7 linked regions of the Daphnia pulex genome follow. The main gene of each other region encodes a partner of the protein of the gene in region 5 in a complex. Links are inferred from orthologs where the notes say so. Each region holds a gene or a part of one and is shown on either strand. Other genes may lie near its edges. The genes, in order: pre-mRNA-splicing factor RBM22-like, U4/U6.U5 tri-snRNP-associated protein 2-like, G-patch domain and KOW motifs-containing protein-like, protein AAR2 homolog, U5 small nuclear ribonucleoprotein 40 kDa protein-like, pre-mRNA-splicing factor CWC22 homolog and smad nuclear interacting protein 1-like.

Evidence for each region.
Region 1: U5 small nuclear ribonucleoprotein 40 kDa protein-like (region 5) and pre-mRNA-splicing factor RBM22-like share a complex: the UniProt entries of both Homo sapiens proteins name them as parts of the postcatalytic spliceosome P complex. The link is inferred for Daphnia pulex from reciprocal best matches to the Homo sapiens genes SNRNP40 and RBM22.
Region 2: U5 small nuclear ribonucleoprotein 40 kDa protein-like (region 5) and U4/U6.U5 tri-snRNP-associated protein 2-like share a complex: the UniProt entries of both Homo sapiens proteins name them as parts of the U4/U6-U5 tri-snRNP complex. The link is inferred for Daphnia pulex from reciprocal best matches to the Homo sapiens genes SNRNP40 and USP39.
Region 3: U5 small nuclear ribonucleoprotein 40 kDa protein-like (region 5) and G-patch domain and KOW motifs-containing protein-like share a complex: the UniProt entries of both Homo sapiens proteins name them as parts of the minor spliceosome. The link is inferred for Daphnia pulex from reciprocal best matches to the Homo sapiens genes SNRNP40 and GPKOW.
Region 4: U5 small nuclear ribonucleoprotein 40 kDa protein-like (region 5) and protein AAR2 homolog share a complex: the UniProt entries of both Homo sapiens proteins name them as parts of the U5 snRNP complex. The link is inferred for Daphnia pulex from reciprocal best matches to the Homo sapiens genes SNRNP40 and AAR2.
Region 6: U5 small nuclear ribonucleoprotein 40 kDa protein-like (region 5) and pre-mRNA-splicing factor CWC22 homolog share a complex: the UniProt entries of both Homo sapiens proteins name them as parts of the minor spliceosome. The link is inferred for Daphnia pulex from reciprocal best matches to the Homo sapiens genes SNRNP40 and CWC22.
Region 7: U5 small nuclear ribonucleoprotein 40 kDa protein-like (region 5) and smad nuclear interacting protein 1-like share a complex: the UniProt entries of both Homo sapiens proteins name them as parts of the minor spliceosome. The link is inferred for Daphnia pulex from reciprocal best matches to the Homo sapiens genes SNRNP40 and SNIP1.

Annotation. Positions count from the first base shown.
Region 1 is NC_060024.1:7,163,093-7,167,444, reverse strand, and holds pre-mRNA-splicing factor RBM22-like, read right to left. Parts: upstream 2,889-4,352; 5' UTR 2,845-2,888; intron 2,789-2,844; exon of another isoform or gene 2,769-2,788; intron 2,113-2,768; exon of another isoform or gene 2,095-2,112; 5' UTR 2,019-2,094; coding exon 1,965-2,018; intron 1,892-1,964; coding exon 1,838-1,891; intron 1,751-1,837; coding exon 1,487-1,750; intron 1,427-1,486; coding exon 911-1,426; intron 847-910; coding exon 490-846; 3' UTR 408-489; downstream 1-407. Other genes in the region: renalase-like, read left to right, coding at 47-118, 188-349; uncharacterized protein LOC124200920, read left to right, coding at 2,889-2,966, 3,173-3,268, 3,328-3,456, 4,268-4,294; uncharacterized protein LOC124200919, read right to left, coding at 4,318-4,350. UniProt on the Homo sapiens protein: Required for pre-mRNA splicing as component of the activated spliceosome. Involved in the first step of pre-mRNA splicing.
Region 2 is NC_060025.1:1,779,131-1,783,213, reverse strand, and holds U4/U6.U5 tri-snRNP-associated protein 2-like, read right to left. Parts: upstream 2,737-4,083; 5' UTR 2,606-2,736; coding exon 2,530-2,605; intron 2,450-2,529; coding exon 2,303-2,449; intron 2,243-2,302; coding exon 1,953-2,242; intron 1,896-1,952; coding exon 1,670-1,895; intron 1,602-1,669; coding exon 1,315-1,601; intron 1,247-1,314; coding exon 1,056-1,246; intron 996-1,055; coding exon 860-995; intron 796-859; coding exon 709-795; intron 648-708; coding exon 600-647; 3' UTR 543-599; downstream 1-542. Other genes in the region: uncharacterized protein LOC124202306, read left to right, coding at 3,542-3,593, 3,684-3,814, 3,889-3,968, 4,039-4,083.
Region 3 is NC_060019.1:137,284-141,570, forward strand, and holds G-patch domain and KOW motifs-containing protein-like, read right to left. Parts: upstream 2,755-4,287; 5' UTR 2,658-2,754; coding exon 2,503-2,657; intron 2,439-2,502; coding exon 2,153-2,438; intron 2,094-2,152; coding exon 1,987-2,093; intron 1,917-1,986; coding exon 1,733-1,916; intron 1,675-1,732; coding exon 1,542-1,674; intron 1,477-1,541; coding exon 1,369-1,476; intron 1,190-1,368; coding exon 1,020-1,189; intron 956-1,019; coding exon 800-955; intron 738-799; coding exon 606-737; 3' UTR 548-605; downstream 1-547. Other genes in the region: trehalase-like, read left to right, coding at 4,125-4,216, 4,280-4,287. UniProt on the Homo sapiens protein: RNA-binding protein involved in pre-mRNA splicing. As a component of the minor spliceosome, involved in the splicing of U12-type introns in pre-mRNAs.
Region 4 is NC_060019.1:11,511,594-11,515,196, forward strand, and holds protein AAR2 homolog, read right to left. Parts: upstream 2,360-3,603; 5' UTR 2,238-2,359; coding exon 2,071-2,237; intron 1,978-2,070; coding exon 1,862-1,977; intron 1,799-1,861; coding exon 1,682-1,798; intron 1,619-1,681; coding exon 1,324-1,618; intron 1,236-1,323; coding exon 1,061-1,235; intron 998-1,060; coding exon 764-997; 3' UTR 659-763; downstream 1-658. Other genes in the region: CDGSH iron-sulfur domain-containing protein 1-like, read left to right, coding at 1-40, 130-242, 319-432, 492-581; ubiquitin-conjugating enzyme E2 N, read left to right, coding at 3,020-3,049, 3,178-3,268, 3,342-3,497. UniProt on the Homo sapiens protein: Component of the U5 snRNP complex that is required for spliceosome assembly and for pre-mRNA splicing.
Region 5 is NC_060027.1:3,204,219-3,208,762, forward strand, and holds U5 small nuclear ribonucleoprotein 40 kDa protein-like, read right to left. Parts: upstream 3,050-4,544; 5' UTR 2,707-3,049; coding exon 2,629-2,706; intron 2,473-2,628; coding exon 2,343-2,472; intron 2,280-2,342; coding exon 2,106-2,279; intron 2,044-2,105; coding exon 1,835-2,043; intron 909-1,834; coding exon 705-908; intron 647-704; coding exon 481-646; intron 410-480; coding exon 357-409; 3' UTR 277-356; downstream 1-276. Other genes in the region: syndecan-like, read left to right, coding at 4,070-4,162. UniProt on the Homo sapiens protein: Required for pre-mRNA splicing as component of the activated spliceosome. Component of the U5 small nuclear ribonucleoprotein (snRNP) complex and the U4/U6-U5 tri-snRNP complex, building blocks of the spliceosome.
Region 6 is NC_060018.1:7,249,306-7,253,688, reverse strand, and holds the start of pre-mRNA-splicing factor CWC22 homolog, read right to left. Parts: upstream 2,976-4,383; 5' UTR 2,847-2,975; exon of another isoform or gene 2,782-2,846; coding exon 2,624-2,781; intron 2,557-2,623; coding exon 2,052-2,556; intron 1,985-2,051; coding exon 1,856-1,984; intron 1,788-1,855; coding exon 1,442-1,787; intron 1,234-1,441; coding exon 794-1,233; intron 732-793; coding exon 451-731; intron 372-450; coding exon 270-371; intron 185-269; coding exon 1-184. Other genes in the region: ubiquitin carboxyl-terminal hydrolase 24-like, read left to right, coding at 3,897-4,133, 4,201-4,339. UniProt on the Homo sapiens protein: Required for pre-mRNA splicing as component of the spliceosome. As a component of the minor spliceosome, involved in the splicing of U12-type introns in pre-mRNAs. Promotes exon-junction complex (EJC) assembly.
Region 7 is NC_060018.1:419,615-422,872, reverse strand, and holds smad nuclear interacting protein 1-like, read left to right. Parts: upstream 1-1,613; 5' UTR 1,614-1,669; coding exon 1,670-2,641; 3' UTR 2,642-2,725; downstream 2,726-3,258. Other genes in the region: sulfotransferase 1B1-like, read right to left, coding at 1-31, 111-261, 344-440, 766-1,009; biotin--protein ligase-like, read left to right, coding at 2,789-2,797, 2,860-3,005, 3,074-3,258. UniProt on the Homo sapiens protein: Required for pre-mRNA splicing as component of the spliceosome. As a component of the minor spliceosome, involved in the splicing of U12-type introns in pre-mRNAs. Down-regulates NF-kappa-B signaling by competing with RELA for CREBBP/EP300 binding.

The sequences.
Region 1 (4,352 bases), on a different chromosome or scaffold from region 5:
TTTAAAATGTCCGAGATTATATTTTGAATTTTACATTTTGATTAAGGCTTTAAAACGATCTTTCCCCGATCTACCTTCACCAAAGGCATTTAAATGCCATAAATGGAGATACTCCCAGGTTCTCACTAACCCTTTTTCATTTCTGTGTGCTTGCAAATTTTACCTTTTTATTTTATTTGCTTTTAAGGTAACGAAACCGTATGAAGATCAGCCGGGTGTACTTGAGATCTCCCAGGAACCTCTTCTGCTAGTTGGTGGGGATGGATTTACTCATTCGAACTTCGATGGTTGTGTATCGTCGGCTGAAAAAATCATTCAGCACTTCACATCAAAAACAGCCAATTTATAGCGCAAAACCTTATATGCAAAAAAACTTATAGATATTAAATAAAATAAATTACAGGACATTTTATCGTGAGAGTTTAAATTTCAAAAACGGAAATACAAAAATTACAGACAAGCATATCGTAATTCTGAAAATTTCTGTCGTTATGTTTGTCGTGTCTTATTAATCGCGCCAAGACGAGTCGGATCCTGAGAAGGGTAATGGATGCCCTGCTGACTTTCGGCAAGAAATACTGGAAGTTCCGCCTGATTTGGTGTGGGGTTTGGTGGTGGTGGAGCGATCAATGGATATGTGGATGGTGGATATTGAGGATAAGGAGATGGGTATGCATTGCTTGTAGGAGCTAAATTGAAAAAGTTATGCTCCAATTCTTCAGGATGTGGCAAAGCTCGGGGAAGACCCGGAACAGGTTCAAAACGAGCTCCAGCTTCAGTATTTGTTGTTCCAGGAACATTCTGTTTGCCTTGAGATTTACCCCAACGAATAACAAGCCGCCGATTCTAAATTTTCAAATAATTTGAATAAGTTTTGGGGAATTGAAACCAGAAAGTAAAAGGTCCGTACCTGAATAATTAGTTTGTTAAAGGTTCCTTCGGCAGCCAATTCTGCAGCTGAGCGGGTGACGTATGTTACAAAAGCACATTGCTGTCGTGAAACGATAGTGATGGATCGAATTTCACCGTACTGATAAAAATGATCTCGTAGTTCTTTTTCCAACATCTTCTCTCCAATGTTACCCACATACAAAGTGGTAATGGACTTATCTTCAGGAGCATCCAAACGAGGAAGAGTGGCAGCCCGACGCATGAGCTTTTCTGCCACTGGATCATTGGTGCCATAATAACGATCTTTAATGTTCTGATCAGCCAATGGATCATCTGGATCAGTGGGTTTTTCATGACGGTAAGGACATTCTTCTCCTCTTTTGCATTCACCTTTCACCCAGAAAGAACAAATGTGTGGCAAGTTCCTACGATAATATGGTGCTGTGCGTGCCAATTTCATCAGAAGATCTGATGGAGGATGAGATTTTCCTGGACCACCAGCAGCTCCAGGTACACCATGATCTGTTGCAGAAAGCTGTCAACAATAAAAATGCATGAATGTAAAAAATTCATTTCAAAGCAGCATTCAACTTACTTGTTTCTCAGCATTTTGAATAAAATATTCTTTGTTCACATCAGATTTTGCAATATTGTCTTTAATGTTAAGTGCTTGGTCTCTGACTTGAATGGGAAGTCCATATTCAAGATCTAATAAGCAAGTCTGGCAGACATTTTTAAGTTTTGCACAAGTCTGACAAATTTCTGTTTTCTTGAAGCGCATACGGGCACCAGGGCACCATCTGAAGGTTGTGAAAGGTCTGACACAAATCTTACATTCACTGCCAAATTTTTCCTTCATCTAAAAAAAATTAGGGGAACCGAATTACGAATAAGAATTACGAAAAACATAGTTAACGTATGCATTTTTAAGTTAAGTTTCATTCACCATTCGAACGTAAGGGTTGTCTCCTAGACATGTTGGGCAGAGAATTGGAAACTCCTAAATTATATTAAATTAATTCACTGGTTAGTATCAGTCTCAATTTTAAACTATCAAAATAGTATAATATTACCGAATCTTCCCAACTTGTACGTCCATAAGTGTTTGATGATTTCGACAGCGCCATTTTGAAACGTAAAATCTGATGCCCCAAAGGACCACACGATAACTTTAAAATCGGTCTGTCTCGGTATCGATACTAACTTGGATCGATATATATTGTTTACTTACTTCATTTTATGGAAATTTATGACAATTTTTATTTAAATTAATAAATGTGTGTAATAATTTAAATAGAATTGTAAAAAATTTCCATAACATAAAGTAATTAAATATTATAAATAAACAATGGATATCGATTTAAAGTTAAATATCGATAAACAATCCTTTTTCCTTAAGTGTTTGTTTTTGACGTCTGAACTCTGAATTGACATGGATATCCAAATACTGGGGGGGGGGGGGGGCGGGTAGGTGAGCTGGATAAGGCGTCGCTTGGTGATCGGGGAGCACCTTGAGACCTGAGTTCGACTCTCCCGGTGAGCATAGTTGCTCCCATACCCGGGCACTACCACTACACATACAATACAGATCTCTTCCTAAAAAGGCAGGCACTAGCGCCAAATCGTACACAATGATGGTACTTCCATCCCCCTTCTTGGGGCTCCTTCCACACAATACAATACAACACTTACACTGCTCACGCCATCGCTCAAAAAAATCAATAGAAAAAATATCTCGTCGGTGCAAGAAGGTCATCTAGTTGAAGACCAGATGTCTGCTAAACATAGCAGACGCACCTAATCCTACCAATACCAATACCAATCCAAATACTGGAATCAAATTTTACCCAGGATTTAGGCGAGATAGAGAAAAGGGTGGATAAACTAAACAAAGATGGTAAGTAACATTATTTTTTAAAGTAATAACTCATTCTTAACCTCATTCAAACTTACCTTTAGCAAAAGAAATCCAGAAGTTGAAGAAAATTGGAACTACCATGGCCAGCCTGAAGCTTAACAGGCGACTAAAGAACCTGTCTATGTGTGTAAAAAAACTGAAGAAGACTACGCTAGAGGTAAGTTTGGTAAACTTTGATTTATATACACAGTTCCTTCTAAATCATGGAAGTCGAGCCACCCACCAACCCTCAGCTGCCAACAGCAATCTTCCCTAGGTGAATAGCATTGTTGATCGAGGGGAAAGAAGTCCTGCAATCTGCAATCCACAATGCTTTTACCTGGGGTATGATTTTCTAATTCATGTTCATGTTTTAAATTTCAGGACAATCAGGCTGAGGGAGTATTGGGTCAAATTCCTAGTTCCAGCGTTGAAGTTTGTCCCAACTCACCCATTCTCGCATGTGATTATTGTGGGAAGGTAACTATTTAATCATCCACTCTTACATATTTCAATTATAATTTTTTTTGTAATTTCAGACCTTTACGTCAATCTTCAGCTTGAGTAGCCACCGCATAAGCCATTATCGGATGCCGAAAGGTTATGGTCTTTCAAGAGAAAAGAACATATGTTATTGCCAGCCCCCAACTCATATAGCTACATGCAAGGTAAGAGAACATTTTAATTTATAATGAACTGTTAACTTACTTCATTTTTTAGAATTTTAGAAAGTAAACGGTTTCCTCCGGCTCCATGCTGTCTGAATAGGGGATGGCGCAAAAAATTAAAAAAATAATAAAACATATTAAAAATAAGAGAAAAAATAAATAAAAAATATCTCCCAATCAAACTATAGCTGGGAAAAATTTACTTTACGAGTTATTCACGTTTAAAGTTTCGACTCCCTGGCTCTGCCAGTTTTAGCTTAGCTCTGGTCAGTTTTTACAATGGGAGCAGATCACGTGACCGGCAACAGCCAATAGAATGCGTATCCCTGAAAACAACTTTTCATTCTTTTACCACATGGCGGTAAAAAAACTAGATTGCTACAAGCTTGACGCGACACCTTGCGGACACAGACGAAATGACAGATGTTCCCCGCTTCTATTGGTTCCCCCGATCACGTGATCTATTCTCATTGGTTAAAACTGACCAGCGGTAATGCACCAAGAATCACGTGATAAATAGGCCACCTCCTGCGTTTTAGAGGTGGGCCACGTAGTCGAAACTTTCAACGTGAATAACTCGAAAAGTAAATTTTTCCCAGCTATAGTATGATTGGGAGATATTTTTTTTTTCTCTTATTTATAGTATGTTTTATTATTTTTTTTATTTTTTTGCGCCATCCCCTATTCTCAATACCGCGTCGTTATTGCATCGGCCGTTTATCTCAAGATCATTTGCTTCAGCTGAAAATTTTGATAGAAAACATGCAATAAAAATTACTCAAATAAAATTGGTCTTATCTGGTTTACCTAGCAACGAAGCTTCGAAAGCTGCTTGTAACCCTCCGTCCGCCATCATGGAAATCACCAATAAATCGGCCATGAAACGTCCACCACCT
Region 2 (4,083 bases), on a different chromosome or scaffold from region 5:
AATTGTTTCTCCTAATTTTTTTTCGTCCTTCCAACTTTTGGCCGTTTTCCAATTTTTTGTAGCATAAAATAAAAATCACCCCACCGCTGCTCACCGCAAAAAAATAAGCTATTTGAATTCGATCGAATGCTGGTCTGATTTTTGAAGAAACTTTGTGCGAGTGTATGTAAGGGAAAAAGAGTAGCAAACGAGCGGAATTCATGAAGGACAATTTGATTGCGCGGTGTGAATCTAATTTTTCACTACGACCCTTTATTTTTTCATCCCTTCTGTCCTCTTTGGGGGTTGTCTCTTACGTGTTTGTTTCAAGATTTCTTTATTTTGCTCTGCATTCTCAAACCCACTTCTTCTCTCTTAATTAAACAAATCACTCCTTTTTCCCTGTTTTGCCACACAACATCGTTTGGAGCAAGATAAATGAAACAAAAAAAAACGAAATAAGTTGTGTATTATTGCATCTTGTGTAATCAAACATGGTTCGTTTTCCTCGCGACGTGGTGTGTTAATTTTATTCAATCCAATAAGAAGTCTCACATTAATGCTTTAGTACGAATTTGAATATTTATTTCAACTCGGGTTTTACACTTTTGACAGAAATTTCAGTTGGACATTTCAACGTCGCTTCTTTCCGTAGATTGTTCCCATATCTAAAATGTTTGAACATTTTAAATGGGACATAATAACGTTTTATTGTATTTTTTTTTCTACCTGAATGTAAGCTTCTGTGAGAGTGATCATCTGCGGAAGAATTTCTGTCACGTGCAGATCTTGCATTTCAAACCATTTTCCTGTCGCCTAATAGAAGCAATTGACTCGTGAAGTTTATTGTGATTATTGGTCAACAATAAAACGAATTTACCTTATGAAGTATGTGAACACGATAAGTTCCCTTGGTTGGTTCTCCATCATGTACAATATTGGCTAACAGATCGTATGTGGTACATCCGTGTTTGGCGCGAACATCTGCACCTAGAATATCGCCAAAATCCACACCCCTAAAAGCACATCTCAATTTTGTAACAGTCAACAAAAAATGGTGTGGTAATTTTATTTACCTGATGGGGAAGTTTATGATGGTGGGATTCTTTTCTATGAAAAACGTGTTCTTCGTGAATCTCTTGATGTTGAGAATAATGTAACGTGGCAGTTTTGTCAATTCGAATCTCTTCAAAAAATTTTCCTTGTAGGTCTTGTATTCCTTTTGCTGGACTCCATTGAATTGAGACAGCAATGCAAACAGAGATACCTGAAAAATCAACAAAAGACTCGATCTAGCTTTTAATTAATGCTACAAGCTAATTGATTTTGGCAAACCTGTGGAATGATGTTTTCGCGAAATTCATCTTTGAACAGAGGAGGGGGAGGCAAGTCGGCTGCCAGAAAAAGGAAAGGCGAATCGACAAATGTTTCGACGTATTCGGCAGTCAACATCAGTGCATCCTTTTCTGTATCAGTGGCATCGATGGGTGGGATTCGCTGAGAATGAATTTTCATTGCTCCCAAAAAAGATTTGTAGATGATTGAAGAAGTTGGCTTCTTGGTACCGTTTAATGCCAGATGCAACGCGTTTAAAAACCACGAAAGAAATTCCACTGGATCACCTGAAATATGGAAAATGAAGAATTAGCAAGGTAAAATTTTAATAACAATTCTCATAATTTAATATTACCCTGGCTTGTAATTTGGAATTTCTTTTTACTGCACAGAACGACAGCCTGGAGCATCTCGTGGGGGGAAACGTGAGCCTTAAAGTTGCGTGGATTCCAAAGCTTACGAATCAATTCACCAAAACGCTGAACTAAGATGACGTTATTGTCTCCAGGAGGACGCTTGATACCAATGTAGTTCTCTTCCCTGAGAAAGTAATCGCGTAGTGGAACAACATGAGATAAAGCCTAATACAAAAGTAAGTAAAGTTTATTATTTTAATTTATAGTTTACTACTTCATTACCTGTAGGACTACATTGCAGTAATCATTAGCTTTGATGTTATTGAGTCCAACTACTCCAGGACGGTAAAGAGTACCATCACAAGACCTAGATACTTTATCAATGACATCCAACACTGCAATATTTGCTTTTTTGAATGTTGGATTCAAGACATATTTGATATCATCGAGTGATGAATCAATGATTTCATAGTTGTCTGGCAGACAATAGAATCTTAGGGTGTGAAGGTTCAAAAAAACATGATGTCCCTCTCCCACACTGTGAAGATATGCATGTGTGCTGGGGCCTCTTCCTAGAATTCATTTGAAACAATTTAAAATATGTGAATATTGCTGTTTAACTTCAAATTTACCTTGAAAGTATTTCCCACACACCAAACATGCATAGACATTAATCCTTGTGAGCGAGACTGAACAGAGTTTTTCAAAATCAAAATCCAAAACTGTCCTGTTTATTGTGTCCAAATAAGGACACAAACGAGATTTGGCAATTGGTTCTCCTAGAATTTTTATCAGTAAAAGTTGTTACACGGATTGCACTATATTTATTATTTGGTTTTGTGGATAGTGACAACAATACTTGTTTTCACGACGGGTTCGTCTTCATCATCGAAATCTTCATGTTTGCGCTTTATATCACTCTTTTCCGTCCCCATTTTTGAAAAGATATTTACCCCAAGAGCCAAAATTGACAGCTTTTCTTATTGTTTAAGAATTAAGGAAACTCGAATGCAGAGTTACGGAAAGGATAGCAGACACATAAAACGAATGCAACGCGTTAATGCCGGTAAACGAAAAAGTAGAATTATTGTCCTGTAGATGGCGTGAACTACTTCATTCAAATCTTGTAACGCGATTCAAAATTTCGTTTGATTATCATGGTCATGCGTCAAGTAAATAATTATTTGTACAAGATGGGGCTACTATTTTTTATCGTTTGAATTACTATCCTGATAACTAACTAAAAAACCCTTATTTTGTGTCTGGTAACGCTGTTGGGTCTTGGGTGTTGTGTAATCATCTCAAAGTTTAGAGTTTGTCTCGAATTTGTTTGGATGTATTATCAGAACTCTGTTTACCTTGATTAACTTATGTCAACAGAAGTCTATATTTTGAAAGCGATATTCATGGTTCAGATAATGATGTTCAGCATAGTGTAGATTTTTTCTGCCTGGATACAAATTGCTTACTTGAACCATAAACCCGGAAACAAGCAATTTCCGGGTTTCTAAAAATCAACTAAGCAATTGGTGAATTAGAATTTCGTAATTCATTTTCAATAGAATGTTTTTTTTTGTATAAGTTCGTCCTTCGAAGGTGTACAAAAATATAATCATTGGGTAATTTTGTTTGCCCTTTGATTTTAGCACGCAATACGGATTATCAGATTAGTCAAATCAAGTTCGATGTCACAATCATAATCTTTGAAAAACCCATTTATATCACTTTCTAATCAAGAAGTGATCGATTGCCCAATCATTGATAGACCAATAATTTTTGTATAAATTGGTCGTGTGCAGTTTGCATTTTCTGTTTCTCAAAAGGACACGGTTTCTTTCTTTAACTTTAAACTGAAATTGTGTTCGTTCGTCATGAAAGTGGTTGGCATTTTCGCTTTGCTCTGCCTTTTTACCCTTTCCAATGGTTTGCTCATATTTGTTACTCGTTCCTTGATTGGGTTGATTCTAAATTTCTAACGACCATAATTTTTAATTTTGTCATTACTTTTGGTAGGTGCTGGAATTCGACGCCCCGTTTCTGGAAAAGGCGAGCCGCTTCTTCGTCTTTCCTTTCCGGCCTCTGAACATTTGATGAATCGTGCTCGAAGTGGGGAAGCAGGAAATGCCAATGAATACATGGACGAGGTATTTGTAATATAATTCAATTTCGTTCTTTGATTTACTGAATTTTGTCTTTTTAAAAACATTTTATATTTTAGGTTTTGGCTTTAGTTCGCGAGCAGATAGTCCTGCTAGGATACGACCGTATTCAGCTTCCAGATGGCGATTTTAGCTTTACGTATGACGGGAAAAATTGACAATCAACTTTATTTTTAGTAAATATGAATTTTCTGAAATTTCCTAAATAGATGGGATGCTTACCCCGGCGTAAATGGCGGTGTCTTTTTGCACGA
Region 3 (4,287 bases), on a different chromosome or scaffold from region 5:
GCGGCCCTGTTACTGAGCTGTTACGTAGTCTGCACACAGCAGACCTTCATCGTTCGTTCGTTCGTTCGGACTTCGGCGGGAGTCATGAGAAATGACCGAGCGAAAAAAAGCCCCCCCACTGTCCCCCGTAGGGTGGTAGCCTATACGCTTTTCTCGTGAATTGATTGAGCTACGCTGTGTGGGTTCAGTGTACTCTGTACCGAAAAATATCGATGCAAAAATAAAGGGGAACACGCACGTGAAAGGTGTGTACCATTACCGTATTCCCCCTATAGCTCGTGTATTTTTACGATGCCGGTGTATACTTTAATAAATCCCATTGAAAACACACAAAGTTCTTGCCAGACTGACTGGCGCGCCTTGTACTTTCTCATCTCTTTTTCCACTTGAAAAATTTGCATTAGCGTAACGTATCATTAAAATGATAAGAGAGAGAGCTTTCGGCAAACATTTGCATAATGAGAGATTGCCACAGCTGTCTGGGTCACGTAGCAAATTATGTGAGAGGTGCAACAATGAAGACAAAAAGGGTGAAAATCGTTATGAAATTAAACACGAATAGCACATTTGTTTTTATTTAAAAACCAAGTCGAGTTATTTTGTGATTACAAGTTGCGCACATCTCCCGTGTATTCGCAAATGTCGTCGTAGTCTAGTTGGAAAACTTCATCGCGATCCGGTAGAATCTGGACGGTGGCCGTGTATCGTTCCTTGTCCCTTTCAATCACTTGGCAGACCTTTTTATTAAAAAATAAACAAGTTAACAAAAACAACATGTGTGTAAATTTCAGCTAACAACCTGTCCTTTTCGTTTGCCCTTGACGACCATGACGTAAGCGGGATCGCTACGCGGAATGACAGTTTCCAATTTAGAAATGTTGACGTTTTCCAAAAGTTTCCCGTTTTCGGCTTTGCAAATGCAATGATTCTTGGAAATCACGTCCACCACAACCATCTGGAATTCATACCAATCGGCGTGAGAGAAATTCATCTTTTATTTTTAGGACATTTTTATTTACTTTCTGTTTGTAGAATTGGCCGTCCTTGAATGAAGAATCGACGCAGCGGACTCGCAAGAGTGGGTGAAGCCAAGGTTCTCGTTTCTCGTCAGAACCTTTCGACGACCGATTTTTAGAACGAGATTCTTTCTTCTCATCACGGCGCTCCCGACTGCCACTCCGACGACTACCTTTTTTAAAATAAAAGGAAAAAATTATTATAGTGGAATTTCATTACAAACTGATTAATTAACAACGGGAAATTCTGACGGTACGGGCTGGGCGGCTGGCACGAGAACGCCAATGATAAATGTAGGAAAGCGTGACCTTGGGTAGGAGGAGCTAGACAGGACAATCTATCACTACTTACGATGGCTAGGACTATGCTTCCGTTTCTTTCTGCTCTCGCGATCATTTCTTTCCTTCTCGTTTCGCTCCTTGTCCTGTTTCGTTTTGTACTCGTCGTATTTTTCCTTGTCTGAGAATTAAAAGAAAGATGATTAATTTCAAGAAGAAATTTGGCTTGAAATAGATTTAATTTACTCAGAATCCTGGCGGAATCACGATATTCTTTAGCAGAAACTGGTTTCAGAAAGAGCTCGCTCATTTCCAATTCGTTGCTTCCGACAGCCATCCGCACCAGAGCACGACCAGTGTTTGCGTCCATGCTAAGAACCTGATGAAACAAATTTAGTTATAATTTAATGGCAGATTTTAATAGAATTTTTACTTACTTGTCCATATAAACCTTGATGTTTCCCGCTGAGCAACTGTACATTTGCACCGATAATCACTTTGAGCTCTTCTTCGCCTTCTTTTGGCTTTGTTAAAGCTTTAGCTGCATTTTCTAAAACAGTACGGTCAGCCCCAAGACCAAGTCCTTTAGGCCTAAGTTTCACCTCCATGGGAGCAGCCACTCTTGATTGAATAAAAGATAATTTGATGAGAATTCAGAACCATTAATTAATGTGAAATATGGCAATGATACCCTTTTCTAGAGAGACCGATACCCTCTGAGGCTTTCCAACCCATTCCTCTCAACATGGCCATTCCATAGGCTTCCACTGGGATCGCTTCATAATCATCAAGTGTGGACTAGAGAGAAATGTCAAGAGTTAATTACATAATTAAGGTGCAGTTGCGAAATTCAGTACCTGATCTGCACGGAGGGAAACATCTACTTTTTCATCTGTTTCAAAGCCAGATGGAACACGATTTTGCATAAATAGGGGGATATCAATGTTGGAGGGTACGCCATTGCCTCTGTTCTCCCAGCCATCAACAGCCTTCAGTGTTTCTTGCAGGATTTCTTTTTCGGCTTGCTTGTCCAAGTCTGATGCTTCTGTGTTCTCGGTTTTGGTATCACTGCCAGGGGTCCTCCACCGATTCTTTGTTATAAGAGGAATAACCAGTTCCTTTTTGGGTGCTTTTTTGATGGATCTAAATAGAATAATGCAGAAAATGAATGTAAAATTAATATTTTGTGGCGGGAAAAGCAACATACCCATTGATTTTGTTGTGCTCGACAGTTTTGACGAAATCAGTCTCTTCGCGAGTTTCTTGAGTCGTATCCAATAGTTTCGACTGAGTTAATTTCACGTTATCATGTTTCTTTTTTGAACTAAAGGCAAAAGACACACCAGGCTTGGTTTCCGACATAATGACACACGAATACGTTAATATCAAGGATTTCCTTTTCGCTCAGAAGATGTCTTTATGGAAACAACAAAAAAGGTGGGGAGACGCAAGCAGACGAACATTGAAAAATCAAATCAGACAACTGCCGTGCATTCTGCGGTGGTATTATAACTACGCGTAGCTTCTGCATAATTTTCGTGTAATTAAAATATCTAATTAATTCGCTAGGCGAAGGCGATGTTTCGTCGTTTTAATTAAATTGTCTGAAGGAAAAATTCAATTATGTTACTAGGCAACTGCAACTGATTTGATTTCATCCTGCCTGACGCTGATGCCGCCAGGCCACAGCCGCGGTTGCCTCTAGTGCCTACTTGACTTTGATTAAAATGTAACCGAGTACGTAATTAAAAGGAAATGGAGCACGAAGATGAGAAGATGATATCATGGGCTCATTTTGTAACTGCCTGTAGCGTCACGCAATGGAGATGCTCGCATCATATTGACAAAGTTGTAAGGCTTCATCAAAGAATTGAGGTCACTATATATTGATACTGATGCACGTAGACCATTGAAGTGACATAATCATGTGACACAATCAAGTATATTTATTTAATAAAATCGAACGACCGGGGCCTTGATTTTTTTGTAGGCTGGTTCCGAAATTGACCAATCGTAACCTTCGGTGTAATCTACCAGACACTCGCTAGATGTCTGCATCGGACGAGTCAAGCAGACGACAAAATAAAACTCTAGAACAAAAATATTTACGCATTTACGAGCATCGACGATATTTGTTCATTCCAAAACAACTACGTACTGCCATAGAGTGTTGGGTTTGATTTCGTCATTCACTCCTTCCTCTATGGTACTACTAACACAGTGCTGTGACATAATTCCAACCGTATGTTATTACAAAACACATTTATCCTGACCTGAAATTTATTTGTACCAAGTGTCTTGCTCCCATTTCTAGGAAAAATAGGGTTAAGGTTACTCGACAATTTGTTGCTTAACTTGGAATAGATTGGCTGTTTTCCCAAATAGTAGTTTATTTTTAAAAAAAGATTGATTTCATTTCGTTCAAGGTCTCCATGTAGCCACTGGCCCTATAAAAGGACAACCATTCGAGGTTGTATTAGTAGTAGAATAACCCCAAGAGACGATCTTTCTAGTCTGTAATTTTCCATTACGACGACGACATTTCAAATCTTTTACCAAATTCAGAAGGCCGGCAATTTAAATGTTTTAAAAGTTACCTCCAAGCGTTAAAAAAAGTCCCCGTATACAACAGGTAGTAAAAAAAGAAGAAGGGCGTCGATTTACCCTTTCTTTTCTCAATTAAAAGGGTCATTGACGTTTGTTAACCCCCCTTCGATTTAAAACGGTGAAAAAAAGAGGTCTTTTACGGTCAAGGTCATCGACTGTCGTCCGCCAAACCGAGGAACTGCGTTCGACTTGTTTGCCTTTTTCGCCAGTGCATTCTGAACAATGGTGCGACTCGTACGTCTTTTCTGCTTGTTCATCTCTTCTGCCACTTTTGGACTTGCCCAAGTTCAATCTCTTCCTCCGCCATGTCCAAGGTAAATTTCATCTATTTCTGTGTGTGTTGGCAATGATTAATCTTTTCGTGTTTCTCTCAATAGTCCCATTT
Region 4 (3,603 bases), on a different chromosome or scaffold from region 5:
ATGGATTACATCTCAAATATCTTTAGTAGTCCTTTAGGAAGTAAGAATGTTTAGTGTTTAAGACTTACATAAAAATTTGTACATAAAATGAGATTTTTATTTATCTTATCTTTTGTATTTAAATTTCAGTTCGAGATTTGGTATGCTCAGCATCTCTTGGGGTTGCTGCTGTTGGTATATCACTTTTCATCTATGCCAAAGTAACAGGCACTGGATTTTGTAAAAAGAAGTGTGATAAAAAGGTATGGATTCTCAATATATTTTGACTTTAGAAGATAATAATCTGAAGTTTAATTTCTTATACAATTCTTTATACAGGGCAGTGTGGTTAATCAGAGTATTAAAAAGGGTGATTCAAAAGTAGTTGACACTTTTGACTTAGAAGACATAGGGGACAAGAAAGTATTCTGCCGATGCTGGCGTAGTGCTTCGGTAAGGAACTTATTATGGATCAAATTAATTTATCTTATATAACTTTTATCCTTTCCTAGTTTCCCTACTGTGATGGTTCACACAACAAGCATAATACAGAGACTGGTGATAATGTTGGCCCACTAATTGTTGGAAAGAAAAGCAACTGAACAAGCAATCTACCATGTGGTAGTTACTGCCCATCTCTTTAGTAGTTTTTCATATATTTAGTTATTATTACTACTGGTTTTCAGCTTGTAAACACATTACACATGTATTGAGGAATTGAGGAAATTTGTGTACAGTATATCATGGTTGAAGTGGTTGAAGTATCAATTTTCTCTTAATATTATTACATACTTTCATCCAACTCAACTAGTACTGGTGCTTCATCATTTGGTTCAACATCAAAATCCCATTGAAACCTCTGTGTTACAAATTGCTTCAACTGTGAGGCTCTTCTTTTAAGCTGTCTGTCAACAGCATCATTTTCCAAAATATTTCCAAACAAAACTCTTAAAGTTTGAATGAGGAAGTTTTCTGATGAGATTATGTCAACAAAAAAATCTGGAGATACTTCTTGCATCTAAAAAACAATATATTTTAATTAATAATTTTAGTTGAAAATTGTGTTTTCTAATGTCATCACCTGAAAATAGATATCCCCAATGAACTCCACAATTAATGATGGATTTTTCAACAGAATCTCATCAGCAAAACAAAAAATACGAATCACGTTCTTCCAGTGTTCAAAAGCACTGTAAACTTGTCCTATCAAAAAACACAAAAACGCCATTTGAAGTTCAGCAAGCATTTGATTGGGTCTAAACAAGAAAATAATTTATTATTAAATACAGCAAACTATTTGGTATTTTTTACGTTCCGAAAAATAAATATTAAAAAAATGCCGACCTTTCCCAAGTTGACAGCATTTGTTCCAGTAAATAAGATGTGTCAATGCTATGTTTAGTGATTTCCATGGCACTTGATCCTACTGGATAGAAATCAACAGGGACTTTGGTAAAATTTAACGCTGTGCCTGGCTTTGGTTGCATGTGCGGTAGTAATTCATCTTCATAATTTGACCTCTTTATTCTTTTTTCTTTCACTGGAGATTCTGCTGGTGCTGGTACATCTTCTGATGAAATTAATTCTGTAACTGATGAAATCTTTTGCTGAAGGGGTTCCACTTTCCCAACTACATCAGCTAAATATTAATTGTTAGACATTTTATTTTTGTACAGATTACATAATGTATAAGAAAATATACTTGTCAATTTACTGCTGAGAGACATCCATTTCTTCCAGGTATCAAATGGATATGGACCCAAGTGCTGATCAAGATTTTTTAAATTGGCTTTTAAACTTTCTCTTTCTTCATCAGTACCTATTATGGATAAACACTAAATAATAAATTAATATTAAATAATGATTTATAAAATAAAATTACAATCGTTGATGACATCTTCTATTTCTGGGTTCCACTTACGGACCACAACTTCCTTCTTATTGAAGTTGTAAAAGAAACCTGTTCTTGGCGCTACGGAACCTTCCTTGCTTACAGAGCTAGAAATTATATAAAAATATACAATCACATTTTGTACCTCACAGTGAATGTTACACTCACACAACTGTTCTAACAAAAAATAACTTATTTGCCTGTAATAAATATAGTGAATTCCAGGGGGTATCATTTTTATGCCTTTGAATTTTTCGCCGGTTCTCCAACTGTTGAAATCTATTCCTACTTCAGTCCCAATTGGTACGCCAAGAAGAAATAAAAACGCGCCCTCTTCAAATAATTTGTTAGCCAATTTTTGATCCATTCTTTCCGTGTTTGACACTTGATGGTTTATATTTTAAAACAGAATGAAGCTGAGTGAATGAAACCACGCAAAAGCAATGAACGAACAATACTAGCAGACGACAGTTTAAAAACAAACAACATGGAGGTCAGACGTCAGATCAGTACCGGATGCCGACTTGCCGAGTTAAATTCTAGCAATTTTGCATAAAAAAAGGGAATAAAATTAACATGAAGAAGGATAGGAGAAGAAAGTGATAAAATAAAAAATTTTATGTGTTGAAGCCTGCCATTCAATCTTAATCATGCCTTATTAGTTAATTTGCCCTTTTTCAATTTATTTCAACTTTCAAGTCGAAATTCTTTCTAGATGATTCATGAAAATAATTAAAATATTCCGCAAACAGAACAGCCAATTAATCTAACCAAAAAATTTTTACTGGTCATTTTCTACGGTTCTGAAATAAAGGTTTAAACTCATTTCCGGCATTTGAAAAGCAATACCTTTTGTTTAGCTTTCTCGTGTATTTCCGTTTGTAAACCAATTCAAATAAACTTTGTTCATTTTAAATAAATCGTCTTAATTTGAAAAATAATATGTTTATATGTCTAATTCTTCCCGTGTGGCCGGGTCGATCTCCTACCGATTTTCGTCACCAAACAATTTGACAACGTCTTAAATTAGCAATAGGGCACTCGTATAGCGTGAAAACTTTCCGTCTTCTCTATTTGGCTTTAAAGTTACCATCTATTATACGAAAATCTTATTTTATACTCGTTGTTTGTTCAACAAATTGATGCGAAATGGCAGGCTTACCTAGAAGGATAATCAAGGTAACACAAATCTTAATTGTAGACTTGCATCAAAGTGGGAGGCAACGTGTTTTTTTCTCCCGATCCTATTATGGGACCGGTAGTATTCTCTAGCAATATAGTATATTCGTCATTAATTTGATCAATAGGAAACTCAACGTTTGATGGCTGAGCCTGTCCCAGGCATTAGTGCAGTTCCAGATGAACAAAATGCTCGTTATTTCCATGTTGTGGTTGCAGGTCTGTAAACTTAAATTGCAACCTTAAAGTGTCATTCTGGTACTGACTAGTTCATATTGATTAAAATTCATAGGTCCAGAAGGTTCTCCATTTGAAGGTGGTGTTTTCAAATTGGAACTATTTTTGCCTGAAGAGTACCCAATGTCTGCACCTAAAGTGCGATTCATGACAAAGATTTATCACCCTAATATTGATAAACTTGGCCGAATTTGTCTTGATATTCTGAAAGGTGATTATTTTTATTACTTTAGTGTTTGCTCTATCAAGATTGTCAAGTGTTATGTGTTCTATGCATGTATAATCTTGTGTTTTGGTTATCAGGGTATACCTGTATT
Region 5 (4,544 bases):
ACTGCGAAGACGTGACAGAACAATAGCACTCAGACACTTTTGAAACACCTTCTCGCAAGTCATCACTTGATCAGAGGATGGCACTTCATCCATTGATTTTTCTCACGTGCCGTTAACATTATTCGTACCTAGCTAACCTTTTCTTCCTAGTTTTTCCATTCATAATTGCATTTTCTTAACGTGATGATCTCTAAATGGACTCGAGAACGAGCAAACAATCCAATTAAGTTTTTTTTGGCCTTTAAATGTCGATTAATTTAAATGCAATTTTGTAAATATGCGTAAAAGAATTATTTGTTTATTCGTCCTCGATCCTTGCCATCGTTTCAACTGAAAAAAATTATAACCTTTCCTAATTAAGCGTCAATTTCGCCTAGGTAAATCAGCTTGTCACTGGCACCGGATGCAACTATGTTTCATTCAAAATAAAAAATCTGAAATTAATTGATGTCCTTGATGTTGATTTGCTGCGTAAATTACCAATAGGTTCCTTAGGATGAAATACAACGTCATTGACACTTCCGTTGTGACCAGGTAATTTGTAAATGATGCGGCGAGATGTAGTGTCCCAAATGTAAACGAATCGGTCGGCAGATCCCGCTGAAACTTTGGTTCCGTCAGGTGACCATGAGCAGCGAAGTAAATTCTATAACATTACACAAGGTATTAGAATGGATTGAGAAATTCGCCGGCATTGTATATACCTTTTCAAAGTTGTGAGCATGGCCAACCATCATTTTGATACAACGTTCTTGAGGAGCGAAAGGTCGTACATCCCAGACACGTAAAGAGTTGTCCATCGAGTTTGACAACACGTAAGATCCATCAGGACTGAGAGTCAAGCCGGTCACAGTGTCGGAATGGCCCTTCAAGGAGTAGAGGAGAGCATTTTTTCTCAAGTCCCAGACCTAAAAAGGAAAGTGTATGATTTACCTATCTCTCCATATTCACGTGAATAGCTCAAGGCCAGGACCAGTTGAAATATCGCAAATGCAAAACTACTTTTCAGGTTTTAAAATGAATATCTTCCAAAAAAAGGAGAAAACTTAACATGGGTTTAGTTCGAACGAAAAGATAATCGATAAAAAGTGAAAATTATCTATTTTTCAGAGTAAATTCTTCCTAAAGATGTCGCAAAATTGTCATAAGTATTACGGGGAAAAGTTTTGATCGATAATGTGCAACCATCTGACAAGCAAAGAAGTATCAGAATCCGCTTCCAGCGTTTCACATTTGCCTCAAACTGACAAAACACAAAAATGCGCATCTTCAGTAATTAGGATGGAATTAGGACATTTGACGAGACCCTACTGCTGAAATTACTTGAATTAATTTTAAAAACTTCGCCTACGAGCTTACATTAGTGAACCCATTCATATATCAAAGAGAAGGGGCCCTGGAAGTAAGGAAGGACTTGGTGACCTTATCAAGGTGAGACACGCGATAATCAGAATACCAAAGTTGAAATCCCTTGCACTCTTCAAGGAAAATGAACTCGATGATAGGGTAAGACAGAACTTGCACGAATATGGTTCAATATTAAGTAGAAAACAATCAACAATGTCGAAACTTTAGTTTTTACAACAAAGACAGAATATGACTGCAGGTCCTTCCTTTTTTGCCAAACTATTCTCTTGAAGCCATCAAGTAAAAATACTGAGAACTTTAATCAATTCTGTAAGAAAAATACTCAAGTTTGTGACTTTCTCCCACTCACACGGAATATGAAGTTCGCCGAATCGGTGGCTTAATTCAAATTCTTGGAAATTGGTCCCATAGTTTTTCTTCTCTCTCTCTCTCTCTCTATTACAACAATTGAATTTTGCGAACTCACCTTAACATCGTTGTCGATGCCTGCGGAAATGACTTGTTCGGCGGTATCGTTGAAGGTGACGGAAGTCGCTTGGTAAGAATTATCTAATGATACTGTCTCGGTTCTTTTTCTTGGATCCCAGACTTTGATGTTGCAGTCATCTGAGGCGCTGCAGAGAAGAGGAGGTCCTCTTCGTGCAGGATGAATAGCATTGACAAAGGAGGAGTGGCCTGTTGAAACAAATTGTTGTTGGGTTCAATTGCTAAATAATGGGACAGTGACAATGGTATACCTTTCAGTTTCTTGATTTTAGCTCCTGTTCTGGTGTCCCACAAACAAATGGTTTTGTCTGTACTAGCAGTGTAAATGGTATCACCATCGGTAGACAGCTGAAGATCCATTACTGCTCCGGTGTGACCAGACAACACAGCAAAGTTTTCACACTCTCCATAAACATTCCACAAAACTGTTGAACAAGAGGTTGATTATCCAAACAGTAGAGATGCTCAAATGTATATATGATGCTTACATATTTGTCTGTCGAACCCGGTGGAAACCAAAAACTGGCCGTCAGGATGGAACTTCAGGCTAAAGATATCTCCAGGATGTCCTGCCAGGAGCATTATAGGAGCCATGAGGCTAGACGTTCTTGCTGGTCCCTGTTTATTGAAAAAGTCAATATCACATTTGAATTCATCATAGCATCTACAACAACAAAACACACAAGCTGGTCAGCATGTGGTTGGATGCAATTCTCTTTTGTGATGCATTCGGCTCATTTAAAAGTTTATAAATAAAACACAAATAAATCAAACCTGTTGCAGGGCCACTTGACCCGAGGTGGCCGACACCAATTCATTATTGCTGGGATTGTTTACTGACACAAGCGCCATTGCTCCGGCTTCTAGACTTTTAAGAAAATTTTCAAGTTGTAGAAAAAAAAAGTGAAAAAGTTTTGACAACTACTACTGACGGAGCAGAAGCCTTTTCTTGCTAGATCTATATTTTATAGTGGTCGCCTTTTCCAAATCTTGTTGGAAACTTGGAAAGACTTTGGTATAATAAAAGAATAAAAATTGAGATGGGGAAAAGCTGTCACAGTGGTATATCGCTCAAGAATTTCCGAACCCTTTTTCTCTTTCTTTTTTTGGGAAAAAGAAGTTGTAACTCGAGGAATTTCATGAACACCCGCGCAGTCTTGGAAAACAATGGGTATTATTGGGGCCGGAAAACAGGCGAACCCACGATCGTAAAAAAAGAAAAGGAGTGTTAGAAGAAGGAGGGAGAAACAACAAACATTAAATCTCTCCCCTCGATATTTTCTTAAGTTTTGTGTGTCCGTGTGACTATAGAACAGAGGACCTTCTAGTTTTTTAACACTCGCAAGAAAACGACTTCACCAGTATATGTGATAGTCGCTATGTCTGGGATTTCTTTTCCATTCCAACGAAATTTGGTGCGTCGGAAAGAACAAAACTAGTCTCTCGAGATGAAGATATTTTGAGCGCTGAATCCATGACCTAAATTGAGTCATTCATTTTTTCCCAACATGATGAGGAAATGATGAGATTGATTTTTGTTTTTCCTTTTCTTTCCCGTGTGTGTGGTTTACATTCGTCCGTATAATTTCCACGTCTATGTTGTTGGAGGAGAAAGTGGGGAGGAGCTGAAAACTGCCGCCAGATGGCAGAGTTTTTGGTACCCAATGGCGGCGGAGGGACACAAAGAAAAATCCAGTCCCTTCAGTTTAATGGCGGCTCTCGGCTGGTGTGTTTGATGATCTGGGCGTGAGTTGGGATCTTTTAATCCATTTCGGCCTTTGGTTACATCGAGAAGTGTCTCGAAATCACGCCAATTCCCGGCAACTCTTTTTGTTCTGTTGATATTTAACATTCCGTCCCCGAATCGACGAGTAAAACTCGGCCATCGTTTTGGCTTCACCAGTGAACTGTGTGGTTGAGTGCGCGCCTGTGAGAGAGAAGAAGTGTGAAAGAAAGAAAGAAAATGCCCAGCCTGACCTGAGAGCATCACCGTCTGTGTTTAGAAAATTAGAAAAACGGACAAAAGGCTGCAACTATCCTAATTTATTCGACCACGTTCTCCACTTTTGTATTGAAATAACACAAAAATCTTGGAAGAAAACTTTAGAAACGGATATCCGGCTCTTAAAATAAATAATACTGAAAAAATCTCTCTCTCCACCCTCTCACACACACGTAAGGCAGACTCTCAAACGCTCAGGAAATTCTCTCAAAAATGAATCCCAGAATACATATGGCGATTTTCATCGCCTTTTTGGCTGCACATTCGGTTAGCAGTAACATCAACAGTGCATCATCGGTTGCCAAGGTAAGAATGCCACCACTTTTTATTGATCTTTTCACACATCTGGACTATCATAAAACTCCCACACCCTTGATTCCAGGCTCACAATTTTGTCACGACACATTTTGTTGGGTTTTGTTTTATTTTGTCGTTCTTTTTAAACTAACGTTTTGTGGAGAGAGAGAGAGATTACTTAATGATGTGGAAGTTTTGTTTTCTTGTAGTTTTAAAAAATTTCAGCTAAGTTGTTTGTGTTTGTCTCTCGAGTTCTGTTGATGACATTAGCATCAGCACCATCGAGAGGGTCTCCCATGAGCCCCTTAAGGAAATATGGCGTCTGATGTTCAAATCAAGACATTCCTCTGCGCTCGATTTTCCCGAACGGTTTTATTTTTTCCAAAAGAAA
Region 6 (4,383 bases), on a different chromosome or scaffold from region 5:
TGATGACGATGATGAAGACGAAGATGATGATGACGAGGAAGATGAAGACGACGATGAACTTGAATCTGAATCAGAATCTTCCAATAACAACTGTGCAGCGGCAGCTGACAATGAGGACACTGGTGCTGGAACAGTAATTGGCGGCGGCTTAGGGTGAGTCCGAAGATGTTCCCGAAGTTCGTCTCTACATAATTGAAACGTCCCATCCAACGCAACACAAAATTATTAATTAATCTTAAAGAATCTATCAACGAGATAGAAAAACTTACGTCAACCCTCCTAGACCGATGGAAGTAAAGAAATTAATGGCAAATCGAGTGTTGCGAGGATCATCGCGAGGGAAAACTCCTTCAAAATACGGTTGCAAAGTCCTAAAACGAAAATATTAAAAAAATTAAATTGGTGACGTATAACCAAACAAGATGTTTAAAAAATAGTTGGTGCACTGACGGGTCTTTGAGGCGAAGATTTAGCTTGCTGAGACCCATGTACTCTGCCATTTCTTGAAATAAAATTTTAAGAAATATTCTCGAAGAGCTTGTAGTATCTTCTTCAGTTAGTCGAATGTTAGCCATCACTTGCCAACTGATGGCATCTGTGAAAAGTAAATGGGCAAACATTTTGGCTACATTGCGAAGCTTGTTAGTATCCAGCCGATGAATTGTGTCGTATGTATCATGAAATATTTGCTCGAATGGTGGTATGTATGCCTTATTAATCTGGCAAAATCTCTAATACACCGAAAAGAAAATTGATATACTTGAATAGTTTTTTATTTAATAAGAAATCGTACCTGGGCTAAAAGGCCGAAAAATTTTTCATACGTCCTTTGTTGGGTGCAGCAATCCAAGATCATATGGCATAACTCAGTTTCTTGTCCAGGTTTCATTTGCATTTTCATCATTTTATGGGCACATTCATTGTGATCTAAACTGCTCTGAATAGTAAGGTAAATAACGCGTCGAAGAGCAATAAGGTTTGTCTCCGTCTCGTCAACAATATCGCCTTGTTCTAAAAAAACAAAATTAAAAACATACAAATTGAATCGACCCAAGTAAAAGTATATGCTATTCTTACCTTTTGCTTCCTCCTCCGAAGCACTATCTCCATCAGATTCATCATTTTCTTCTCCAGAACCGTCTGATTCGCCCGAATTATCTCCAATAATTTCTGTTTTGACAGCTTGGTACTTTTCTTCGTTGGCTTCATAATCCGGGTCGTGCTTGAAAACATCTACAAAAATACGCGAAACAGTTAGTGGTATCAAAGTGGAGATAGACATATAAAATCTACTATTAACAGTTTAAGAAAAGCACGGAACTTGGGGCTCATTACAGTCAAAGATTATTTTAAAAATAAATAAAAATTTAAGCCCAGTAAACTAACTTGGTAGATTGAGGAATACAGATATTTTTTAAATCCATTAATAGCAACTTATTACTCAACATATCCTGGGGATCCAATTCTTCTTCTTGTATCGACATCAAATGAGTGAATTGATCTTCTTCTTCCACCAAATCCAAATCTTCCACGATAGCAGGGTTGTCCTTAAAGCCATCCTTTCGTACTTGAAACATTACTTCAATCATGTACTTCACGCGTTTGTCTAAGTCAGCTTCGTGTAAAACATGACGGAGGCGATCGAAGACAGCAGTTAATCCTCGAGGGGAGACTTCACCTAACTTTTGACCACATTCTTTCAAAAATCCAACCGCGACTTCAACTGAATCATCAGTTGCATTTTCTAACAGAAGAGTTAAAATTTCTAGAGCCAAAAGCTCATGTGCCTAAAATACCAAGAAAAATTTTCAGTGCATTTGAAAAACAAAACATGAGAGCAAAATTTCAATATTACCACTTGTTGGTTCACCAGATGTGCTATGAATCTTGTCGAACTCATACATATTTGTTTGTCATTTCGACGAAACCCACGGCGAAATTGAAGAATAAGGCGAGATAATAGCAGTTCACCTATGTTAGGAAACTGAAACATCAACAAATGTGATGTGAATTAAATTAAATACATGAATTAATATAAATCACGTTTATACTTTGGAATTGATTAATGCAGCAAGGGCTGCATAGACATGTGTAAATGTTGGTGATGCAGCTTGTGCCTGAATGATGGACCTAGTTAGAAGACCACGTCCCCTAACAATATTTTCTTTGAACAAGGATGTTATAATCAATGGGATATTTGACACATTGACTTTATTGATTAATCCATGAATGGATTTTTTGAGAGCCTCCCAAGATAAACGCTGAAAAGCTAAGCTTGACTTGTCAGTTATTTGGGCTTGCATCATTCTTAACTTGGCAGGAGGAATGTAAGCTCCTCCGGTTCGTGTCAGCACTGGATCCATTTCTTTAACTCTCTTAGGCTCTTTAGTATCCTCTTCATTTAAAGGACCTTGTTCACTAGTTTTTCTGTCATCCTTTTTCAATTGATTTTCTCTTTTTCTTGAATGTTGATCTTGTTCTCTTGAATGTTGTGTGTAGTTATCTCTAGGGCCTTCATCTCCCCAATAGCGTGTGCCTATTTCATAGTTTTTTTTCCTGATAAAAAAATGAATATGAAGTAAATTAATTTGTTACTTGTAACACTTTTGGTACAGTTGTCTACCTTTCTCTTCTGTATTCCTCCTCTGAACTATACCGTCGTTTCCGAATATTGCTATCGGGCTTTGCTGGAGCTTTTTCGTCTCGTTCATCTTCCAAATCATCGTCGACTTCTTCTAAGAAATTTACGGGTAAACCAACAGCTTTGACGACACTTTCCATCTGAAGGATTATTGTGACAGATGAAGGGAAATTAATTTGAAAATATCACTTAACAGATGTTATACTGTTTGGATGAATAGAAAATTGCAATCGCAACACGCTGAGAAACAACTGCTTTTTTACGTTTGCTTCCTTGGCTTAATGCCTATTGCCATATTGCGGTATTGCCGTTTGCTTACAATTCTACCACTAATGCGCCACCTGCGTTTGGGCAGCTTGTTCGATTTCATTGGTTGTCGGCTTGTCGCCTTATGCCTTATCGGGTTTATCGCAAAGGCAGGCAAAGAGACAAACGTGACAAAAAATAAGAATTAAGAATCTTCTTGTAATCAACCACTTCCTCATTAATGAAAATTTGTTTAAAATTTATTGGAAAAGGAATAATTGAATAAATATTCTGCCCCGAGCAGCGAGCAACCATCAAATACTTTTTGGACTTTTTCGATAACTTGTTTAAATTGTTTATCAGCTTTGTGGCAGCGTTAAGCGCTGAGCCTTCTCAGGTCTTCGTATTTCGTGTAGAATTTTTAAAATAGTTACTGGTGAAATCAGAGTTATAAAGGATCGTTAAAAGAATAATTATTTCAATTTTTGAAATATTTTCGCATGTTTTCGCTAGTCCTGCGAGTTCCTAGTTTTAAAATAGGTATTACTAACCGCTATGAAACAATAAAAACAGGCAGCCACGAAGATTTGTTAAAGAGATTTCATACTTTCAATTGAAATTATGTGGTAAAAAATCATTAAGCATTTTTTCTAAAAGTCGAATCCGTCTGAAACCACTGTTTAGAGGAATGAATGAGCTGGCAACATGTCAAAGATGTCAGCGCCCACGGTTTAATAGGGAGGGCGCATTTGACAAGGGGCCTGCCTACCGCTAACATTTGTTTGCCACTCCTCCATGCAGTTTATCCTATGTGTATAGAAGAATTTCAAAAAGCTCCGCGAAGGAGTTCGTGCCTCTTGTGATCGTAGTAAGATAACAAAAAAACAAAAAAAAAAATGCGCAGAGTGCTTGGGATACACTCATCGTGCATCGTGATATGTTCTAATTTTGTATTTGTTTCCTCTTCAGATAAACAATAAAAATTTTAAAACGCCGGAGAGAAGACGTCATGGACGTCGAAGACGAAAATATCAGCACGTTAATGGCCATGGGATTTCCGGACATCGGAGAAATCAAACGAGCTTTACGTTTAGCCAAGAATGATCTAAATGAAGCAGTTGCTATCCTCACCAATGATCAGTCAGTGTCATCTTATGGACCTGTTGCTGACTTAAACATCGATGTTGACATGAAAGAGGTAGCTGGTGTTTCCAAAGGATCCAGCGAAGATGCTTCCGTGTCTGAAGTAAAGCCTATTTCATCTATTATGTCAATGTAAAGCATTTTTCAACACTTACATTTTTATCTCTTAGAGTGGAAATGATGGCTTCCCTGAAACCCACCTGTATGAATTAGAGTCTAGAGTATTTACAGATCAATGGTCTATTCCTTATAAAAAGGATGAAAGTTTGCATAAATGCTTAGCAGCTGCGACAAAACTAATAGAAGAAGGTGGGTTATATCTTGTGAATTTTGTGTTTTTCTATTACACACAT
Region 7 (3,258 bases), on a different chromosome or scaffold from region 5:
CATCTTTTGGATTACGGGCTACATAAACCACCTGCAAAACACAGCAGATAAAATATTAGTAACAACCAATCGCCTACGGTTTACAAATATGATTAAGGGAACTAGATTTCCTTGCAAGTATCCAATAACTTCGGATTAAGAAGATAAAATGGCAGATGGCTTTTAATAACTCTTGGTGAAGGCATTTGCTCAACCTTATCAAGTGTAATCAGCATTTTGCTGTGCTCTGGTGGAAGACAGCTACCAATCATGTATGGGAACCTTAAAGAGTCCATATAGTTCATAAACCGAAAACGGAAATGTCTTGTTAAAGCTCTCAATGACATCCCAACAACTGACATACTCTAGAAAGGGTGACCGAACTATTAGTGGTGCCTTAGATCCAATTGGATCACAATTGTTGAGAATCATCCACACTAATTCCTGTGTCCACGTCGTTCCTAAGTAAACAAATTCAAAGTTATCAATTTTATATGTGCGGGAGAATACGAAAAGTTAACACTTTCAAGATCCGAGAGATTTGTATTTGTTTGTTTCAAACTATGTGTTTTAAAATAGGCGGGGAGAAATACAAGGTTGCCATTTGGCTACTAGACTTTCAAGGCTACGGCCAAAAAAATTGATGACAAAGAAATAAATTGTGACGTAATAGCAGTAATTGCTAAACAAATACCACTAGGATATTTATTTTTACGAATTATTATTTTATAAAAATGTAGCTATTACATAAAAAAAATCTTAAAAATGATTGAAAAAGGATTTTACCGCATTTTGGAAAGGTTACTACCCAAACGTCGTCGCTTCTTGGTTGAAAACGTGAAATTTCTTTGGCATGGCGTGCATACTCATCCGTTAAGAGAAAACCACCAGGTTCGCTCTTCATCAGTCCATGCTGCTCGTAGTTTGTGAAGTGTTCTTTCAAGTCTCCATTCACTTCTACAGGATTGAATTTTATGTTCCACTCTGGAACAACTTCGGGAGGAACTGAAGGATTTTCGGGGTTTGTCATCGTGCGAGAGCTCAGACAACAAATGAAAACGCAACGGCAAAAAGGATCGAACAAAGACCGCGACGACTGAATGACACCGTGGCCTCCTTTTTTATACTCAACAGCGACTCAGCGAGTGCCACATCAAATTTTAACGATTTGGTTTTCGTCGTTAAATCAAATGCAAAATTATTAAATCCACGTAAATATGTATTACAATATCAGATATTTGATAATATTTATTTAAATATTTTACAACGACCCAACGAGCAAAAGAAAAATATACTTCTCTAACAACATAATTTTGATTTCGAAAATGTTATGCTGTAATCGATTACAAAAATTCTCAATTTGGCATACATAAGCATTACTCAATTTCTAAAACATTACATAAAAAAATGAGAATATAAATACATTAAAGAGCAGGCAGTGAGGCAGCAGAGAGCAGGTCCGCGGACGGCGGACCGCTAGCGGCTAGCCGTTTACAGGTGGTGGATGAAAGTAAATCTGGCAACGGTTACGAGTTGCGACACCATTTCATGTTGACAAGCCGAGAAACGAGTTGTATCAAACTGAAACTGAAACATTGAATTGATCTCGTTTTTTTGAGAAATACGCCAGAAACATTAAGGTAATTAGAGAGTACTTGTGCATATCTTGTTTTATTTCGTTTGGATCGCCATGGTAAAGCACAACGAAGACGAGAGGAGTCCCAAAAGGTCCCACGAACGAGGCCATGAAAGAGGCAAGACTCACAGACGTCGTGAAGAACGTGACTCTTCCCCACCACGAAAATCTTCACGAAGCGACCATTACCATTCAAGAAGTGATGACTATGAAAGAAGTCGGAAATCAGACAGCAGGAGACATGATTCACAAGTTTCACACAAAGAAAGTAATCGAAGAAATGACCCACCAATTCCAGTTAAAATCAAGAAAGAACCAGTTAGTGATGATGAACAAAGTTTCAGACGTCCACAACACAATGAAGGGCCTTCAAGACGGCATGAGCAACCACATTCAGAAGATCGACCACCAAGACCTTTTAAGCAGAGACGCAAAAGCCCCCGAAGTGAAGATGCTGAAGCAGCCAACTACCAGTATGGCCAACAAGTTAAAGATGAAGAAGAAGAAGGAACACTCGTTGAAAAGCAAAAACCCAACTTTGGTCTATCAGGAAAATTGACTGAAGAGAAGAATGTTTTCAATGGTGTGGTGGTCAAATACAGTGAACCACCTGAAGCCAGAATTCCCAAGCGACGGTGGCGTTTTTACGTCTTTAAAGGGGAAGAGGCATTGCCTACGTTGTACCTTCACCGTCAAAGCGCCTACTTAATCGGAAGAGATCGTAAAGTTGCTGATATTCCAATCGACCATCCCTCTTGCTCGAAACAGCACGCTGCGATCCAATTTCGGTTGGTAAACTACGAACGGCCTGATGGAACTGCAGGACGTACTGTCCGGCCATATATTATTGATCTGGAAGCAGCCAATGGTACTTTTGTAAATAATCAAAAAATTGAATCCAAACGTTACGTCGAATTGTTCGAGAAGGATGTGGTGAAGTTTGGCTTCAGTTCCCGCGAATATGTTCTCCTTCATGAAGAAAGCAAAACAGATGCTAGTTTGGACGATATGGGAGTGGGGCAGTGACACGTTGGTGACCAGCAATGTTTTGTATCATAACAATTTTCTTTTTTGAACGCCGCAATACACTTAATGTTTCTGCGAAAGGTATTCAATCGTCTTTAAGTGTTCTTTCATTTCATTTCCAGGTTTCACACATCAGTGGGGCTGTTCATGTTATTCGTAAGTTGTCACGTTAATTCAAATTTATAACTAAAGCAATTTTTACAACCAGTTGGTAACAGGTAACCAAAATTGCTGGTGTCATGAGACCTGTGGAACGACTGCTGGCCTCCTCAGCAAGACCGCCCAACATTCTAATATGTACGAGTGACAAAGAAGTTTTTCAGCAATATCGAGCCCTCTTTGAATCCACACTAGAGCCGGATTGGTATATAAACAGTATAGACATTTGATATCTGGATTCTTGATCTTAAACAATGTAACATTGATTGACAGTTATGCCCTTTACCATCTCGATGAACTCTCATTTCGTTCTAAAAAAGCTTGGCTAAGCAACACAAGCCTCCTAGTACTTGCTTCTCGATGGTCTGATAATGACTTGCACGATCCGCTGGAAGAGTACATCAAGAAGGGTGGTCAATGTCTTTCCCTACACCCTTTTTCTCCAAAATGGCTGAATG